Coturnix japonica: one gene and its partners. The protein of the gene in region 3 purifies or fractionates together with the protein of the main gene of each other region. This does not show direct contact. Links are inferred from orthologs where the notes say so. Each region holds a gene or a part of one and is shown on either strand. Other genes may lie near its edges.

Evidence for each region.
Region 1: the proteins of HDAC3 (region 3) and ATXN3 purify together in Homo sapiens (affinity purification with western blotting; 3 studies listed by BioGRID). This does not show direct contact. The link is inferred for Coturnix japonica from reciprocal best matches to the Homo sapiens genes HDAC3 and ATXN3.
Region 2: the proteins of HDAC3 (region 3) and XPO1 purify together in Homo sapiens (affinity purification with western blotting; 3 studies listed by BioGRID, with this or other methods). This does not show direct contact. The link is inferred for Coturnix japonica from reciprocal best matches to the Homo sapiens genes HDAC3 and XPO1.

The regions. Positions count from the first base shown.
Region 1 is NC_029520.1:40,426,659-40,430,407, reverse strand, and holds the start of ATXN3 (ataxin-3), read left to right. Parts: upstream 1-1,160; 5' UTR 1,161-1,248; coding exon 1,249-1,272; intron 1,273-1,407; exon of another isoform or gene 1,408-1,428; intron 1,429-3,015; coding exon 3,016-3,180; intron 3,181-3,730; coding exon 3,731-3,749. Other genes in the region: NDUFB1 (NADH dehydrogenase [ubiquinone] 1 beta subcomplex subunit 1), read left to right, coding at 629-665. UniProt on the Homo sapiens protein: Deubiquitinating enzyme involved in protein homeostasis maintenance, transcription, cytoskeleton regulation, myogenesis and degradation of misfolded chaperone substrates.
Region 2 is NC_029518.1:5,218,683-5,222,431, forward strand, and holds the end of XPO1 (exportin-1), read left to right. Parts: coding exon 1-54; intron 55-1,042; coding exon 1,043-1,177; intron 1,178-1,276; coding exon 1,277-1,436; intron 1,437-1,514; coding exon 1,515-1,611; intron 1,612-2,265; coding exon 2,266-2,412; 3' UTR 2,413-3,379; downstream 3,380-3,749. UniProt on the Homo sapiens protein: Mediates the nuclear export of cellular proteins (cargos) bearing a leucine-rich nuclear export signal (NES) and of RNAs.
Region 3 is NC_029528.1:14,733,472-14,737,220, reverse strand, and holds the start of HDAC3 (histone deacetylase 3), read right to left. Parts: upstream 2,736-3,749; 5' UTR 2,639-2,735; coding exon 2,584-2,638; intron 2,388-2,583; coding exon 2,305-2,387; intron 1-2,304. UniProt on the Homo sapiens protein: Histone deacetylase that catalyzes the deacetylation of lysine residues on the N-terminal part of the core histones (H2A, H2B, H3 and H4), and some other non-histone substrates.

The DNA of each region.
Region 1 (3,749 bases), on a different chromosome or scaffold from region 3:
ACACCATCTGTTAACTCAGCAGAGGTTTATTTATAATTAATGGTAGGACTCAATCCTTTGAAGCTTTGGGTCGTAAAGTAAAAGTTTAGGAGGGCGGGGGCTGAAGCACCTCCCCTATGAGGACAGGCTGAGGGAGTTGGGTTTGTTCAGCCTGGAGAAGAGAAGGTTGCGGGGTGACCTCATTGCAGCCTTTCAGTACCTGAAGGGAACTTACTCCCAGGAGGGGAGTAAACTCTTCGAAAAGGCTGATAATAGCAGGACATGGGGAAATGGTTTTAAGTTAAAAGAGGGAAGATTTAGGTTGGATGTTAGGGGGAAGTTCTTCACTAGGAGAGTGGTTAGGCCCTGGAACAGGCTGCCCAGGGAGGTTGTGGATGCCCCGTCCTTGGAGGTGTTCAAGACCAGGTTGGATGGGGCCCTGGGCAACCTGATCTAGTAAATGTGTATGTTTGGTGGCCCTGCCAGGCAGGGGGGTTGGAACTACATGATCCTTGAGGTCCCTTCCAACCCGGGTCATCCTGTGATTCTGTGTGATTCTGTGATTCTAGAATCATTTTAAATGCTTGTTAATTATCCCACACCATTTATCCTAATTTTAGCCTCCACCCTTTGTTTTCTTTCCACACAGGGAGCTGAGACCCGGCGAAGAAAAGACCTGGAAATAAAGGCTGCTAATGAATGGGGGAAACTTTCTGCTCTGTTCATCACCTGATCTCATGCATTGAAACAATATGGTTATGTTTTTTCTCCTGAGACCCTACCAAGCTACAGAATAGAACACCTACAGTTTGTCACTGCTACTTTAATTCCTATTGTTACTTTATGGAAGGTGATCTATTATAAAGCTGTTTTGATTCTGTGAAGCCCATGGAATTGAGAAATATCTGCCCCCAGAGGTTCCGCTCTGGAGTTGGGGGAGAAAAGACGTCATGTAATAAAGAAAAAAAAAAAAAAACTATGCAAAAATAATTTCCTTTTTTCTTAGTCTGTGTGGTGTGGAATTAATGCGTTTATAGGTGGTTTATGAGCTAACCGAGGCGGTACCTCACACATGGCGCTTTATTAACTCACCGCCACACGGAAGGAAGGACCGCACGTTTCCGGCTGCTCCAGAACTGCGCAAGCGCGTCGTGCTGCCGAGCTGCCCGGACCTCCCGCCGCCAGGGGGCGCTGCTGCGGCACGGCGAGGCGAGCCGCGATTGGCTGCGCGGGTCATGTGAGGCGGAGGCCGTGCCGTTGATAATAAACATGGAGTCGATCTTCCACGAGCGGGTGAGTGAGGTGTTGTGGGGCGGGAGCGGGGCTGCGCTCTGGGGAGGCGGCAGTTGTATCTCCCGGCCTTGCGCTGCTCTGGGGCTGCCCTGTTCCCCTGCCCCATCTCCGGCGGGGCTGCTTCTCGTCTGTGGCCGAGCAGGAAGGCGAGCAGCGGTACGTGGGGCGGGTTCCGTGAGCTCGGACACCAAATCTGCCCGCTGTGGGTGTGCGGCGCTGTGAGGGACGGCATCGAGTGCTGAGCTGAGCTGAGCTTCCTGTTGGGAGAACAAATGCTTCTGGAAACTGCTGTGCTGTGTCAGGGCTCACACGTAGCAGCTGCCTGCGACCTCTGTTGTTACACTACAGTGCCCTTTATCTGCTTTGCCGGTCACTCTGCAGCTTTGCTGATATTTTTGTATTGTTTTGTGGGATCTGTTTAGGTGATACTGGTTTCTGTCCGTTGTTCTTATGCGTAGTAGTTGGTTTAGTTAACAAATAAATAGAGTTAGCTGTACAGTTCAGTGGGTTTTTGTTGTTGCTTTTAATAAGTTATTACATCAGTACAGAAGGGCCCTTTCAAAGAAATTAGAGCCTAAACTTGTAACATGACTCATTTTAACAAAGTTATCCCAGGCTTGATTTGTTCCTAATTATTTCATATGCTTCTGGTGGAAACAATCTGTGACCATTGGCAGGTCTCAGCTGTGTCATGGGGCCAGCAGCAGGAACGTGCTTCCAGCAGGGCAGGAGTTGCTGTTTAGTCTGGAGTTTCTTTTTGTGGGATAAACACAAGCTGGAGAAGCTGTGAAAGATGAGACTTTTGAATTCCATTGTACTTAGGCTGTACAGCCTGTCCAGCTTGAACTCAATATTCAGTTGAGTGGTGGTACCTTCAGAAGGGATTGTAATCTATAAAGTTTCAGGGATCCTGCTGTGAGGGAGACCAAGGGAGATTTGTGCACCTGACTTGTATGATGGAAGAGTGGACATTTAAATAACATTCTTACAAGGCACACTCTTGTATTCTTTACTTTCTGTGGAGTTTTAATTCTTTGACAATTTTGTTTTGTTTCCAACACCTTTGTCCTAATGCACATTCTTAATGTTAATATAAACAAGCATTGATGCAAAGAGGAAAGCTGCTTTTTATAGCTGATGTTAAACTTGTCTTGCACTCGTAGGTTAACTAACTCGCCTGTTATTTTTTAGAGAGGGATTGTTTTTCATGGGAAACTGTAATTCCTCTTTTTGCAAAGTCTCAATGCTCTGTTTTTCTTTAGCCACATGTGGAAAGCAGATATTTCCCAAACCTCATAGGGAACACAAGTTTAACAAAGAAAAAGAGTGTCCCTTGTGGAGAATATTTGTTAATGGGAATTAGAGATTTAAAAAAGAAAAGAATGAGTTTCTTATTTCATACAGTGATGATTTGAAGGGAGCGGAATCGATTCTCCTGATGGTTGCAAAGTACTTGTGTGACTTGGACAAACTGTAGGTGATTTTTACCCTGTTTCCCAAAACATTTTCACTTAGAATTTATTTTCTTCCAGGAAATATGTTTGTTTTCTTTTCCATCGTCAGATTAATGGAACATAGGAATGTATTCTACAGCTCACACTGTAATAAAAATGGAAAAAAATACAGTATTCTGGGAAGTGGGGGCTGGAATGAAATCATTGAATGTTTCTGCAGAGTGCGTCATTAACATCTATATGTTATTGCTTTTGACATAGTGGTGTTTTTTTCCTTTCCTAATATTAGCAAGAAGGCTCATTATGTGCTCAACACTGTCTGAATAATTTGCTACAAGGAGAGTACTTCAGTCCGGTTGAGCTATCCTCCATTGCACAGCAGTTGGATGAGGAAGAAAGAATGAGAATGGCAGAGGGAGGAGTGTCTAGCGAAGAATATAGAACATTTTTACAGGTAAAATCTTAACTTGACGTTGCATGATGTCTTCTTAAAATCTAATATTGTATAGCAAAGGCCTGCTATGCCTGCATAATTACAGAAGATTCATTTTCTAGTGCTGATGTTTTGGAAGTTTGCTGATATTTTCATTCAGGCATTTCAGGTTTGAGGTTTTTAGTGTTATTTGTACAGCTTTATAGTGCTTCTACAGGGGGCCGTGTTACCTTATCTCCTCATCTTAAGGGTAAGATGGTTAGGCATGGCAAGGAGAAGACTAAGAGATTGACTGTTTGTTTTAGTAAGCCAGGGGTAGAGACGGTAACAGAATTCCCTGTACATGTCTGTCCTTTAAGCAGTAAGTATTTGCAGCTTAAAAGTTTGAGTTATTAACAAAAATGCAAATGTTGGTGTTGTAATCAGCATACAGAGTAAAATATATTTCATTGTTGTTTTATGTATGTACAGTCATATTATTATTATTATTATTTTTAAGTGAAATTCTTTCTGAACTTTTATGCTGACACAACTTTTAACTTTCCTTCCTCCAACCTCATATGCTGAGCAGCAGCCTTCTGTAAACATGG
Region 2 (3,749 bases), on a different chromosome or scaffold from region 3:
TGGATTCTATTATTTGGGCTTTCAAGCATACAATGAGAAATGTTGCAGATACAGGTAAATTGAGGTTTTAAGTGTTAAGCATGTAGATTGCTGCTTTCTTGCATTTTTAGTCAAATATAGTGTTCCAGTCACACTGTATTTGCTGCAGAAGAACAGTATTTTCCTATCTCAATTTCAAGTTGACAACTAGACACCCATTAACGTACTGAAATAGTTGGATGTTTTTACTCACAGAAGAGGGCATTTGTTTCTGCGTGCTTTCTCTTTATAGAGTGTGAGGTTTTTTCTGAAATGGCTGAACCGATGCAACAGCTCATAGCTGGTTTTCTGCTTCAGCTTTCATTGTGCTGTTTGGAGTGTTTAACTTCTTCCCTCACTTAGGCAGTCTCTAAGTTACTACTGAAAAAGACAGCAGAAAAATGGTGAGTGAATTTGGTCTGGGAGACAGCTATGACATAAAGCAAGGGAAGTACTCCAGACTAAAGGAAAACTCCTTTTGAACAACAGCAAGTTACACTTCATCTCAGGTTTCACTGAGAAGCTATTTTTAGCACACCTGAGTAATTAAATGTCCTCTAGGATGAGAGTTCCCAAGAAAGGCTAGGAAAAGCTGTGTAAATGTCATAAATTCTGAAAGCATCTCAACCACAGGATAAAAATGATTGTTTTGAAGCTACCTCAATACTAGCTAATTGTTTATGTTTGTAAGATGCCTTTGTGTTGCATTTCAGGTATTAAGGTAACTGTTGGTGTGATTTTTTCCCTTCCTGAATTAACTAGTATGTCTTCATAGAGTTTCTCACTTTTGTACCAGTGAAATCATGTGGTTGGCTCTTCGTGGTTCTGCCTTCTAATAATGAAAACCATGTTGGTGCTCAGTATAAATGTGGCTGCCGCCCTCTACTGGCTGCTTGAATGATTAGTTTAAACTGCAATGCTTGTCAGAATTTCTTGGGATGTTTGTCTCACTTTGAAAAGACTTAAGGATGAATGGAGCTTTTGGTATAGTTTGGTTCATTTTTCTTTTATGCAAATTTTTCAGGACTTCAGATACTTTACACTCTGCTACAAAATGTTGCACAAGAAGAGGCTGCTGCTCAGAGTTTCTATCAGACATATTTCTGTGATATCCTTCAGCACATCTTCTCTGTTGTAACAGATACTTCGCACACTGCTGGTAAGATTGTGAACCAGGTGAAAACAAGCCTTTCAAACATCATAGTAATGTTGCATTTCTTGTTCTGAATAATAACATGTATAATTTTGATCTGTTCAGGTTTGACAATGCATGCATCAATCCTTGCATACATGTTCAACTTGGTAGAAGAGGGAAAAATAAGTACTCCATTGAATCCTGGAAATCCAGTGAACAACCAAATGTTTATTCAAGAATACGTTGCTAATCTCCTCAAATCTGCATTTCCTCATCTGCAAGAGTAAGTGTCCTGTAATTGTCTTATACTTTTGAGTGGATACTTACATACTGAAGTACTAATGGATGTATTTGCTGTTAGTGCCCAGGTTAAGCTGTTTGTAACAGGACTCTTCAGTTTAAACCAGGATATTCCTGCCTTCAAGGAGCACCTAAGGGATTTCCTGGTCCAAATCAAGGTATGTTTGGCATGGTTTCTTAGAGAATTGTAAAAAATATGTAGCAGGATGATGTTTTTAAGTTTTTGGACGGTGTTCATTTATAATAGGGCATACATTTTATTACTACTTAAAATTGTCATGGCTCGAGGGTCTAGATACTGGATCATGTAATCCATTTCAGTGTAATTTAATTGTATAGGTTAAGTTTAAATGCATGCTGTTGCTTATACATTGGTCATACTTACAGGTCTAAAATGGCCATAAAGCAGATCTTGTTTCATTTCTGCTTGGGACTAGGGTGTGTTTTGAAAGTTGACAGACTAGTGCTCTGCTTTTATTTTTCCAAAGATGCTAAAATTAAAGATGATTGTACGAAAGTACATGTTAAAGATGTTCTCAGGCTACGTTAGGTAGATATTTCAAAAACTGTAAAGAGACTGTTTTAATGATAAGGTCAAACAAAAAGCAATGTTACTGTACCATGATGCATGGTGAATATCTTAGAAATTTTTGTCTTAGAATCTGATCTTACATGCTGGAAGCAAAACAAGAAATAGTCTGACAAGGATGCGAAGGGAAGATGTTACCAACATTGTTTTTGATATTTTCAGAAGCTTATTGCTCTTCCTGATGCAGTTAAAGTGAAGTAATGGTTTTGTGTGAATTGTGCAGGAATTTGCAGGTGAAGACACATCAGATTTATTCTTGGAGGAAAGAGAAACAGCCCTTCGACAAGCTCAAGAGGAGAAACATAAACTTCAGATGTCTGTACCTGGCATCCTTAATCCACATGAAATTCCCGAGGAGATGTGTGATTAAAAAACAAGTTCTGCAGTTTTCTTTCTGTGCAGCCACTTTGTTGTGACAGAAGAAAACGGCACTTGGATATTTGTTGACCAAAATGACGCCAATTTGTAAATTAAAATGTCACCTAGTGGCCCTCTTTTCTTATGTGTTTTTTGTATAAGAAATTTTCTGTGAAATATCCTTCCATTGTTTAAGCTTTTGTTTGGTCATCTTTATTTAGAATTGCATGAATTGAAAATTATTGCATTTTCAAAGTAATTATTTCATGCCCATTTTTGTGGCTAAGGGGAAAATAGGCAAAACATAAATTGTAAAGGACTATATTGCAAAACTATACAATTTCCTGTAAGAGTATCAATTTTTAATTTGGGATCATTTTCCTTCTAGCCTGCTCTACAGTCTAGGAGAAAAAGTAATGAGTAAAACAGTTTTAATTAATTGTTAAGCAGAGGATTATAGTGCTGCAATTTTTCTGATCAATTAGCAGCTTTTTGGATTTGAGTGGGTAAAGGCTAGGCTTACATGTATTTGCAAGTTGTATGGCAAGTTTGCAGCAAGATCATGTGCATATCATCCCATTGTAAAGCAACTTCTAAAGCGTATGGGAACACAGTACAGTTAGTTATTTTTACACAGTTCTTTTGTTTTTGTGTGTGTGCTGTCGCTTTGTCGACAACAGCTTTTTGTTTTCCTCAATGAGGAGTGTTGCTCATTTGTGAGCCTTCATTAACTCGAAGTGAAATGGTTAAAATATTTATCCTGTTAGAATAGGCTGCATCTTTTTAACTACTCATAAAATAAAAAAACCCTCTGGCTTTTGAGATGACTTATACTAATTTACATTGTTTACCATGCTGTAGTGCTTAAAGAACACTACTTAAAAGCAAAATAAACTTGGTTTACATTTATTTTTCTTTCTTCGGCTTATTCTTTTATTGGATGAAAATGCTGTGATCGTATTAAAGGTTTGTATCCTGAAGGCATAGGAAATGGTCCTTGAGGTCTAGGTTACCATTCTTTCTGATTTCTCCTGATCTCAAGGCTGAGCTTGAAAGCTAACATGAAACAAGTTGGGTTCTATTTGAAAGTGTAGTTTTGACTTAACACCATGACTAAAAATACTCCATACTACATTGCTATAGAATGCCAGTAATAAGGTATTCTTGCTCTCAATATATGTACTCTTTGTGTTCTATTCCAAAGAGTTATTGAACTGTATCTTGACTAGAAATTCATACTGGTACATATTAATAACACATATAGACCAGATGTGCAGTTATTTTTCTACCTAAAGTTTTGTAGTTAAATAATTTTCACAGACGTATGAAATTGAAATACAGGTGAGAAAA
Region 3 (3,749 bases):
TTTGCTACCCTGCCTGCAAGAATTTTGCACCTTGTCCTGCAGACACCACGCCAGAGCAAGATGTGCCAGAATCAACACCACTGCTCTCCCGTGCTCACAGTAACACAGCTCTGGTTTTAGTATCAACTGATTCCTGAGTGCTTGAACAAGTGTCCTTTGAGGACAGGCTTTCTCTGCTATCACAGTCAAACACCCCGTCAGTTCCTTGTAAGTGCAGTGACAGCTTTAATGCTGTGGAAGAGGAAGGCTGGGGAGCTGTCAGCAGTGTGGAGGTTCCTGGCATAGCTGGAATGACTGTTATTTGCACAAAGCTGTCAGAGGAATGTGCACTTGCATCAGCATAATCTCCTGGTCACTGAGTTCAGACACCAGTTACAGGGAAGTTGCTGGTTTGGAGTGTCACAGAGAGCATGGCCTAACTGCAACGGGACAGAGGAATGCAGATGGGGTGTGTGAGCACACAAAGGAAGAGACAGCAGCAGCAGCATCCCCATACCTTAAAGTAATGGTTTATCCCTTCTGTGCTATGTGAGATGATGCCTCTGACAGAAGTGCTTTTCAGTCCTTTTAAAGAGGTAACACCCACAAGAGGACACCTTGTATGTACATGGAAACAAGCAAGTACATTTGCATACAGATACACACAACTAGAAAGGCACGGAGCTGAAGCATACAGCCTCATGGAGAGCAGCCTTTCCCCAGGGCACGTGAAGCAGACGACGGGCTCTGGGGACAAGGAGCAGCCAGACCTGGGTTGTGAATCAGACACTGTGACCTGGATCTGCGCCACTTGGCACAGGAATCAAACCCCTAAGCAGCCAAAACAGTTCAGATACAATCCCTCAGAGCTGAGGTGCCAATAAGCCAGCTAAGAACAAAGGAAGCAGCCCCAGCGCATTCAGCAGCTCAGACAAAGTATTCTGCAGGTTGAAATGTACAGCAGCCATCTCAGAAGCATCGAGCAGGCACATGCTTCTCAGCACCCCTGCCTCACTCCTGTACTGTGAGACATAGCAGCCCGTACTGCAGAGCTTTCTTTGCTCTGTACTAGAGAACAGACAGCAAAGTGAACAAGGATTCACAGGAAAGGGGCTGAGCTCAACGCCCCTTATGCCAAGTGAAACAAAGTATTTCACCATACGGGTACCACACATTTGTGGTGAGATTCCTTTCCTCTCTTGAGATATAAAAAACCAGTAGCTTTCTTTTTGATCATCACTAGATGTTGACTATGTTTTTACAGGATTACACAGCTCAGCATTCAGGAGAAAAAACATCTCCCCAATCATAACATCAGTAAAGCGTTGGACTATGTTGAGTGAACTGGCTGGGTTGCAAGGATGTTAAAAGACATGTATGAAGCATGGAACAGGATGAACAAACTCCATTCAGGCACTAAGATGGAGCCATCAGCCTCCGGAGGGCTTTTTTCTATCAGCTTATGATAACAAACAGCCCATGCTGACTACTGGCTCTGCCTAGAGGCAGCTCCAGGCCCATTAGTTTGACACCCATTAGCACCAGCTAGAAACAGCTCAGCACAGCACTGACAGGCAGCTGTGACACCATGCCCTCAGAGCTCAGGCAGGCCCAGACTTATAGCCACATCTATGAGCAGGCTGTGACCTGCTGGGTCCAGTATCACAGAATTACCAAGGTTGGAAAAGACCTAGAAGATCATCTAGTCCAACCATTACCAATACTTCCCAGCTAAATCATATTCATCAACACCACATCCAAGCGTTTCTTGAACACTCCCATGGTTGGTGACTCCACCACCTCCCTGGGCAGTGCATTCCAATGCCTCACTACCCTTTCTGAGAAGTAATACTTCCTAATATCCAGCCTGAATCTCCCCTGGTGTAGCTTAAAAACATTCCCTCTAGTTCTATCACTGATTACACGATAGAAGAGGCCAACCCCCAGCTCACTACAACCTCCCTTCAGGAAGTTATAGAGAGCTATAAGGTCTCCCCAGAGCCTCCTCTTCTCCAGGCTGAACAATCCCAGCTCCCTCAACCTCTCCTCATACGTTCTGTGCTCCAGACCCCTCACCAGCTTTGTAACCCTCCTCTGAACGCATTCCAGGGCCTCAATGTGTTTCTTGCAGTGAGTACGGAGCTGAAGGGGACAAGAAAAACCAACTGGACGTTCAAATGGAGAACCCAGCAATGCAGGTGAAGCCTCAGCATTGAAGTACCTGGGCTTGGTACATGGGAATGAGGGACAGCAGCTCAGCTCTGTGCCTGGAGGCCCCACATCCCACCTCCCGTGCCCTGCATCCCCCCGTATTGCGATGCTTACGATCATCTTCTTGTAGAGGCCGTAGTGCAGCACCAGGCTGTGTGTGAGCGCCAGGCGGTGCGGCTTCATGGGGTGCCCGGCTCCTGCAACGAAGGGAAACCATACAGGGGTCAGGGATAGGCCCAGGTTAGGAATAGGCCCGGAGCAGGGGATAGGCCCGGAGCAGGGGATAGGCCCGAGTGTGGCACAGGCCGCTCCAGAGCACAGGTACCGCCCTGCAGCCCCCACCCCGAGCCGGGATCGGGCCCATAGCAGCTCGGTGCCCACCCAGCCCCGCACCATAATGGAAATTGCCGACGTCCGGGTCGTAGAAATAGGCCACGGTCTTCGCCATAACGAACAGGCCGCCACCACCGCCCCGCGCCCCTTTACGTCATCACTCCGCGACCTGATGGCGATTGTCTGAGCGTCAACTCTCGCGAGATGTGGGCGGTAAATGGGCGGAGATAGAGCGCTATGGGGGCGGGGCTCCATGGGGATGAGGACACTGCAGTGTAACCCTATGGGGATAAAGACTTTGGGTTTGGGGCACAATGGGGATGTAGGTCTAGGGGAATCCTGGGTCCAGAGCCAGCACATCATACCCCTGTAATGCCCCATAAGTGGTGATGGAAGGAAAGAAGGATGGGGGAGAAGCTCTATGGGATGGGGTACCCCTGTGAGGTGCCTGGCAGGAGCAGAGCTCACTCCTTGTCTGCTCCTTGTCTGCTTCCAGCTCCTCCCATGCGGGTTCCCCTGGGCATGGGAAAGGGGATGGCGTGAGCAGGACTGATTGCAGCCCCTGCTTGGACTGCTATGCAGAAATGCACTGGGTGGGCGGAAGCACCAGGGAACAGAAAGGGGTTTATTGTGAAGGATGGTGTGGGCATGGGAACAGATGGGGATCAGCCTCACTATAGGGCTCAGGAAAACCCAGGACCTGCAAGGAGAAGCAAAGAGCAAACCACTTTTAATGTCCCAGTCATCAGGCTATGCAGTGCTGTATGTCATTGCAGTGTGTTGAGCTGAGATCAGGAGCTCTCTCAAGCAGCCATCCTGGCCTCATGCCCATTGTCTCCCCTTGTCAGGGCTGTTGTGCTTCCATTCCGTCCTGGGACAGCAGACAGAAGGGTGGCACTGGTGACTTGGTGACCTTCCCAAGTCATGGGATGCAGGATGGTCTGTGGCTCTTTGCAGCCACTGCCAGGTCTCCTATGGCCACTTCTGGATGGGAAAGAGTGATCTGGTGGTGGTACAACTGAGGGCTGTGGGTCACCCACCTGCATACATCCTCATGGGCTCAGCTGCACGAGGAGTCTCTGGTGGCGGTGGGATGGGGCTGGTGTCACCAGGGCTCACAAGAGCACAGGGTGGATTTGGGTGCAGGATCCAGAGGTGTCATTTGCAGCAGCGAAGACTTGGGGTGAAACCTCCCAGACTGAGGTCAGAGAGGGAGGTTGTGGCAC